Mus musculus: one gene and its partner. The protein of the gene in region 2 binds, or shares a complex with, the protein of the main gene of each other region. Links are inferred from orthologs where the notes say so. Each region holds a gene or a part of one and is shown on either strand. Other genes may lie near its edges.

The links.
Region 1: Cul3 (region 2) and Kbtbd4 share a complex: the UniProt entries of both Homo sapiens proteins name them as parts of the BCR(KBTBD4) E3 ubiquitin ligase complex. The link is inferred for Mus musculus from reciprocal best matches to the Homo sapiens genes CUL3 and KBTBD4.

The regions. Positions count from the first base shown.
Region 1 is NC_000068.7:90,903,590-90,907,539, forward strand, and holds the start of Kbtbd4 (kelch repeat and BTB domain-containing protein 4), read left to right. Parts: upstream 1-1,150; 5' UTR 1,151-1,204; coding exon of another isoform or gene 1,205-1,223; 5' UTR 1,224-1,320; intron 1,321-1,412; exon of another isoform or gene 1,413-1,566; intron 1,567-2,076; coding exon of another isoform or gene 2,077-2,105; coding exon 2,106-2,694; intron 2,695-3,950. Other genes in the region: Ndufs3 (NADH dehydrogenase [ubiquinone] iron-sulfur protein 3, mitochondrial precursor), read right to left, coding at 834-899, 995-1,058. UniProt on the Homo sapiens protein: Substrate-specific adapter of a BCR (BTB-CUL3-RBX1) E3 ubiquitin ligase complex which targets CoREST corepressor complex components RCOR1, KDM1A/LSD1 and HDAC2 for proteasomal degradation.
Region 2 is NC_000067.6:80,337,891-80,341,967, reverse strand, and holds the start of Cul3 (cullin-3), read left to right. Parts: upstream 1-1,277; 5' UTR 1,278-1,656; coding exon 1,657-1,722; intron 1,723-4,077. UniProt on the Homo sapiens protein: Core component of multiple cullin-RING-based BCR (BTB-CUL3-RBX1) E3 ubiquitin-protein ligase complexes which mediate the ubiquitination and subsequent proteasomal degradation of target proteins.

The DNA of each region.
Region 1 (3,950 bases), on a different chromosome or scaffold from region 2:
ACTGTTCCACAGCTGTTCCTCACTTCCTGTACTCATGGTAACAATGCAACAGTGGCAGCTCCTCTCTCAGACTCAGAGCTCTTTAAGGATGGAAACCAGACTTCTGTTTCTCTTTCCCTTCTTGGTACTTGTTTATACCAAGTTCTTAATCAGAGAACTTCAGGGCTGAAGGACCCTGAAAGATTACCTCATTGCCCATACTCTATCCCCTGTCACTTTGTGTAATAGATGTCCTGGAATGAAAAGAAGCTTTCTATTTCCCAGTGTGATTCTGTTGACTGAACATAAAATCACCACAGGGTCATTCAAGTACTTGAGCACCCACACATCACAGAATCAAGGATTAAGTATTTTCTGCACTTGGAAACAGACCTGCTTTGTCGTTCACTGGAACTGTGACTGAATAATTTAATTATCTGGACCGCTTCATGATCTACATCTATATGGACAGTAAAACGTTATGCGTCTCATCAGGCTCTTATGAAGTCCAAGGTGCCTAGTAAATACTAAATTGATGTGAGCTACAATTATTTTGGACTTTGAGTCTCAAAAGTTTTTGTTACCTGCGCTCAAAGACAATTTCATCGGAGGACAAAAAAAAAAATCAAATCCTGATAACGAGCAAAAGGCGATCAAGATCAGAAGGGAACAAATATCTAGGGCACAGGAAGTGCTCGATTCTAACAGCAAAGTGGAGACCATAGCAATCTCCAAGGACAAGCAGAGATTTGCCAGGAGGGAAGGACATTCCAAGGCAAGGACAAACATCTGACAGAAACAACGAAAGGCCCCAGCTAACGTTGGGGGAAAAAGCGCCATCCGCACATACTCACGGCGCTTGTCAGCCGCCGCGCTCTCCCTTCTTACGTGCTGCCACAGCACGGAGGGTCGCCCAGCCCCTGCACAGGGAGAGAAAAGGCACAAAGGCGCGGGTGAGACTCGGGGAGGTCTCCGTGCTGCCCGTGGTCTCAACCTGCTGCTGTTCCTTGCTCACCCCTGCCTACGGAAGCGGCCCCCAAGAGCCCACGACACCAGACCCTGGCTGCAGCCGCCGCCATGTTCCTTAGTGTGCCGACTAAGTAGCCGGAGAACACACGCAGGCCACGGAGCCCCAAGGGCACGGACCGGAAGTGGAAATGTGCAGTGACTCTTCTTCCGGGCGGACGCGGGGCGGGAAGCAGAGGTTCCGGATCTGAGCCCTGGCATGAAAGGAGGTATCGCAGGTAAGAAAGACCCGCAGGTGGGGAAACCGTGAGGTGTACGTAGCCCTATCTCGGTACAGCGGAGGCCGAAGAGAAGAAGACGCAACGAACCGCACCGGTGAGAGAAAGGGAAAGGGTGGGCGTTCTGGGTTCTAAGTTCTACACCGCGCCGGCTCTTGAGCTAAGCTTTTTTAATGGGGGGCGGGGTGGGGGGGGGAGACGATGGACGGTTTCCTTGGAGACCGTTTCCTAGGCGACTCCAGGTGGCACGGTCAGATTGCACAGGGTTATGGACTTCCTTGTGCCCCCGGCCGGGGACGGCTGGGCTCTCAAGGGCTTCTTTAAGAACTCACTGGAGCGAGAGGTAAGTAAGAAACAGCAGCTTAGAAAAGAGTAAAAGTGGAAGTCCAGGCCCAAGCCTCAGTATTGGGGGGTCTGCACTCTTATGTCCAGGCAAAGAGGGAATGTAACAACAATACCTGGATGTCTTAGTTTGGCCTAATTATGCTTCTCCAGAGTCTCATTAGTTGTATATCCAAATTATTTGGTTTTAAGATCATAGGCTTCCTCCTTCGTCTTTTTCATGAGCTAACCTAAGTCCCAAGTCTTTTGTTACATCACGATCAGGAATATCCAATTTTACCTCAAGGAAAAACAACAGAGTTGGAACTTTTAATTGAATTCATTGGAGGAGAGGCCCCACTGCAGGAAAACTGGAGGAATGGCATAGGCCACATTGGCAAGACCAGGAATAAGGCCATTCTGGACCCACTTTGCTCCAGTGTCTCCCTTCTCCCTGTCTTGACTTGGACAGTTGGATTCATGGACTGTGTCTGTGAATTACCCAAATACTTAGGGTGATATTGCTTTGCAGATAGTTGGCAAAGAGAGAAGTTGGCTACCATGGAGTCACCAGAGGAGCCTGGAGCATCCATGGATGAAAACTACTTTGTGAACTATACTTTCAAAGACCGGTCTCACTCAGGCCGAGTGGCTCAGGGCATCATGAAACTGTGTTTAGAGGAGGAGCTCTTTGCTGATGTCACCATTTCAGTGGAAGGCCGAGAGTTTCAGCTGCACCGGCTGGTCCTGTCAGCTCAGAGCTGCTTCTTCCGATCCATGTTCACATCCAACCTGAAGGAGGCTCACAACCGGGTGATTGTGCTGCAGGATGTCAGCGAGTCTGTTTTCCAGCTCCTAGTTGACTATATATACCATGGGACTGTGAAACTTCGAGCTGATGAGCTGCAGGAAATTTACGAGGTGTCAGACATGTATCAGCTGACATCTCTCTTTGAGGAGTGTTCTCGGTTTCTGGCACGCACGGTACAGGTGGGCAACTGCCTGCAGGTGATGTGGCTTGCAGATAGACACAGTGACCCCGAGCTCTACACTGCTGCCAAGCACTGTGCCAAGACCCACCTGGCCCAGCTGCAGAGCACAGAGGAGTTCCTCCACTTGCCCCACCATCTACTCACTGATATCATCTCAGGTAAGCTCACGAAAGGGCTTACCACACCTAACTGGGCAAGAGTCATGTTCAGCAGATGGTCTGGCTCAGGAGAACCCCAACTTTATGTGACTAACTGTTGTTAGTTTATATTATAATTCCCTTTCTGGTAGATTTTAGATTGAGGTTGATGTTCGGTGTTGAGAGTCAGCATAGCTACTGTCAGACAGTACAGTACAGTAACTAAAGAATAAAAAGCTGCATCACTTTTCCACAAAAGGAAATAAGAAGTGCCTGATGTTTTCATCTGCCCTGTATCTTGATGGTATGCAGGACTTAAATGAATTGATGAAGATGAATCAGTATATCTAAAATAGCTAGGGATGGTGGCCCATGCCTTCAATCCCAGCATGTGGGAGACAGAGGCAGAAGCAAGCAGATCTCTTGTGAGTTCTAGGACAGCCAGGTCTACAGAATGAGTTCTAGGACAGCCAGAGATACACAGAAAACCCTGTCTCAAAAAAAAAAAAAAAAAAAAAACCCAAACCAAACCAAAAAAAAAAATCTAAAATAGGAAACATTTGGGTAATAGCCATAGGTAACCAGTGAAGTGGAACTATACTTTAGATGTGTACTCTATAGCCTGAAAGGTGACTACGATGGCATATTGTGCAATCCACTCTGCTTTTAAAAAGCAAGGCAGGGCTAGTAGTATGACTCAGTGATGTAGTGTTTCTATGGTGTATATGAGTTTCTGGGTTTGGTCCCAGCACTGCAAAATGGTAGTGCTGGGGCAATTTCAAGTTAACGTCATATTTATGTGTGCATAAAGATACATATAATGGTGGTCTAATAAAATGGTTCAAGTCCTTTTTTCTTTTTTTGAGACAGTGTCTCTTTATATAGCCCTGACTGCATGTAACTCACTATGTAAACCAGGCTGGCCTTAAACTCAGAGATAAGCCTACCTCCACCTCCGCCTCCCAAATGCTAGGATTAAAGGCATGCTCTACTACAGCCAGCTGTGGTGCAAGTCTTAAGAGCCCCTTTAAGATTGCCATTCATGAGACTGGATAGATTGCTTAGTGGTTAAAACCACTTGTTGCTCTTACAATTAAACTACCAAGGACCATGGTTTAATTCCCACCAGGAACGCCAGTTACAGGGCATCTGATGATGGATACCAAGCATACATGTGGTATACAGATATATGCAGACAAAACACAACACACACAAAATATTTTTTTAAAATCACTAAAAACGCAGTAATATTGCCACTATGTTCTTCCTTTGGCTCT
Region 2 (4,077 bases):
TTTATCAAGTTTTCCCTTTTGGAGGGCGGGGGTGTGTGAAGGGTGTTCAAGACAGGGTTTCTCTGTGTAGCCCTGGCTGTCCTGGAACTCACTCTGTAGACCAGGCTGGCCTCGAACTCAGAAATCCACCTGCCTCTGCTTCCCAAATGCTGGGATTAAGGTCATGGGCCACCAATTTCAATTGTAGGTGCTAATCCCAACAACAGTTCACTCAAAATGGGAAGATCCAAAACTGGGAGAATCTCAGATTTCCCAGGGGCGTTGGAAACAGCAAATGAGCAAGTATGCAAGGTAGATGTAGGATTCATACTGAATTAGAAGCCAAAAGCAGTCGAATTGGACATTTCGACTATAGGATAAGAGTCCCCGAACAAATAGAAAAATGTCTCCAAACCTACAGCAAACTTAATTTCACAGTGCTTTTGGTTTTAATGATCTATACTGTTCTTGGAAATGGTCGTATGTTTAACACAATATTGTAGTATATTAGGCATTTGTTTTATTTCGGCACAAACAAAAACCGGGTTTTAACATTAGTGGGCTCTGGATCCTCCAGAAGGTATCAACTAATGAACAAACCCAGGAGCTTGTACAGTGTAAGAAGGCCGGGTTGATTCTGAGGCGCTGCAACACCTAGCTAAAAACAGGACACTGGTTTCGCAGTCTGCAGGTAACTCAAGCACAAACCCTGCTTTCAAGTTTCTGGCTGGGCTCAAGTACCCATCCCTAGGCCACGTGCCCTAGAAAAACACAGGAGCAGTTCTAGGACGTAGAACCTTCCTCCTCGCACCCCACGCCCTTTCCCAGGACTACCTACCTACTAGGGCCAAGCTCAGCCCCGCCAGCCCACAACACAACACTCCCCTCTCCCCCTTCCGGAAATTCCCCCGCCCACTACCCACGTGACCCACCACCTTCGCGCTCCACCAATCAGAAGCCACCTCAGCCTACTGGGGTCTCCGACGCTCCTCTTTTGAAAACGCAGCCTACGTCTCCTGCACCAGGCCCCGCCCCCCAGGGCGCTGACTACGCCCATTCCTTAATCCACCCCTCTCCCCCCTCCCCACCACGTTCAGACCCCACTTCTCCCTGCGCCCTCCCTTCCCGGGCTTCGCCCCACCCCGCCCCCGACCGCGCGCCCGCCCCGATCTCGCGAGATCTGACGTGCCCGCCGCGGCCTCCCGCCTCCCCTCCCGTCCTCCCGCCCCCTCCCCCATCTCTCCACTCTCCGCTCTCCTCCCTCCCTCCTCCCCCCTCCACCCTCTGGGCCGGATCTCGTCTCGCTGAGGCGGAGGAGGAGAAGGAGGAGGAGGACGTTCGGCCTGCGCAGTGAGATGTTTGTCCGTCGCCGCCGCCGCCGCCATCGCGGAGGAGCGCGATAAAGGGAGCCGAGCCCGGCGCGAGGGGAAGCCCGCGGAGCCGCCGCGCCAGCGCAGCCCCCGGCCGAGCCCGAGCCGCCCGAGCCCGAGCCGCCGCCCCCGCCGCCGCGGCCGCCCAGGGGCCGGCCCGCCGCCCAGCCCAGCCCGGGGGCCGCGCCGCCGCCCCCCGCCGAGCCCCGCGGCTGCCCTCCCGCCTTCAATGTGACACCGGCGCCTCCGAGTGCGAGCCGCAGCCGCCGCCGCCGTCAGCGCCGCCGCCGGGGAGGGGCCGAGCACCATGTCGAATCTGAGCAAAGGCACGGGCAGCCGGAAGGACACCAAGATGCGGATCCGGGCCTTTCCGGTGAGTCGGTCCTCGGCGCCCGGGACCGGGAGCCGCGGCCCGGAGCCGCACGCGAGGCCGGGGCTGAACTCCGCCAACAGGCCGCAGCCGGCCTCCCCTCCCCCCACGGCCGCCGCCGGTGGCGGAGCGCGAGGCTTCCCGGCAACGGGGCGGCGCGGGGCCGGGTCGGCCACCTCCGGGGCCGTTCCCCGCGCCCCGGCCGCCCCGGGGCCTCCTTCGCTCGGGCCTCGGGGGCCGCGGCCCTGAGGGGATGCGCGCTGTGGCCGCCGCACCCGTCGCGTGGGGCGTGTGTGTAACTTTTAGCGTGCGGTTTCCAGAAGGAGCCGGCTCGGCTTTTACGGCGGTGGGGAGGACTGTCCACCTCTGCTCGACTCCGTAGTCAGGGGCGGTCTTGCCATCCCACTGCCCCACTCACTGACAGAGATGCTAGAAATGCCCACTGGCAAAACACTAGGAGCATAGTATTTATAGCATCCTTGATCCTGCAAAGCTTCCTAAGCGCTTGACCCACTCCGGTTCAGAATCGCCCCTCCACTTCTTGGAGGGCCAGGCACAGCTTTTCCGTGTCTTAGTCAAGGAGGTCCCCAAGAATAGTTGCCACTCAGACTTGTTTTACCTTGTACGTTTTTAGCGACAGCAAACATTTGCTCTTCAGAAACTTTTCCTCTTGGCGTTACGTTGAGTCATAGGCTTGCGGTGTTTAGTAGATGGAGTAGTATGTAACTTTGGATGTCATGCCTCGATCAGATAGCCAGTGGCAGGCAATTAAAATGTCCTGTTGTAACAAACTGGACGTACTTGCTCGTGTCGCTACAGTGACAGGTAAATGTCAAATAGACAAGCCATCAGTGGAGCAGAATTGTAAAAGTAAAACGGAGGGAGGTTGTTTTTCCCTTCTAAGACTCATAAGCATTCTGTCGTGTGGGAGGGGAAGGGGGCCTTTGTCATCACTTTTTGAACAGGCTTTTCCTGAAGTACCCTTTGCTGTGAGGAATGAAAGACCACGATAGTATTGTCTGAGTTAAGTAACTTTGCCTTGGAGAACTTGAGGGCCTCTGAATTCCTCATCCCAAAGAAGTGTACAAGCGATGCAGAATTGTGACTTTGCAAGGGACATATTGTCAGCATGTAAAAACTTGCACCTTTATGTAAATAAATGGGCTCTATGTTAACATGTAGGGTATAATCAGGAGGACGAGATACTTTAATAATAATTGCATTATGAACGATTTTTTTAAGTAAATAAGAGATTACACCAGAAAGTGAGAAATGCTAGAAACACAGTGCCAATAAAGGTAACTATTATGTTTTCCTTTGTAATTGGACAGTGAGCCAGGTTTATGAACTTGAATAATTTCCCTACCTAATCAACCACCCAAGTGATTGTCAAATCCACATCCTTCCCTCTTTTTTTTTAAGCGAATTCAGACATGGTTGTTTTTTATGTTTTAATTTTTTTTTAATCAACTATGACACTGATTTTTCTAGGAAATATTTACTCTTGGTTCTGTTGTTTCTTTGTTGTTTAGTAAAATGTGAAAGAGCTTATATTTGACCAGTTAATATTTTTCAGAGTAACCGGTTCTACCTTTATCTGTGTTTGCAGCTCTTTGACCTCTAGGTTTCTCTACTTGAACCTGTTTTCCTCTCCCCATATACTGAGTACTGTATGCAGGCACTGTTTATTCCTAGAGCTTTAGGACTTAGCAGTAGATGTGAAAAAGGAAAAGATCAGTGGTTTCTGGAGCTAGCATTAGGGATTAGAAGCAGGAAGAGAATTTTGTACCATTAGCTGAATGAAGATGGTATTAGTGTGTGATAGGCTAGTACTAAAACTGAGATTTTTGTTTTGTTTTTTGTTTGTTTTCCAGTTCATAAGTAAATAACCATAAGTTGTTCCCATTGAAATAATTGGCTATTGTTGAGGCTAAATAATGCTCCAGTGATATTTTATTGAGTTCTGGGAAGTGAGTCCATTAGGCTGTCAGAATTGCTTTCATTCAGATTAGATGTCTTGTATATAAGTACAACCCACTTGGATTCTTAGAAGTTAAAATACATAGTATTTCATACACAAAAAATACCATTTATGTTTATTACATGTGTGTATTCCTACAACTGTTATGTGTTATACTATGTGGATATGTAGTTAGCTATAAGTAATGGCAGTTGCTCATTTCAGGTTTTTTATAAAATGGATGTATAAAAGGAATGAAGTAAGTTTAGACTTGTTTGATTTTTCATTGTACAATAGTGGTAAGTTAACTTACAGAATATATTTCATATATAGATGAGTACTTTATCAAAAAAGTACTTTATTAAAGTTCTACCAAATCAGGTTCTCTTACATTTTTA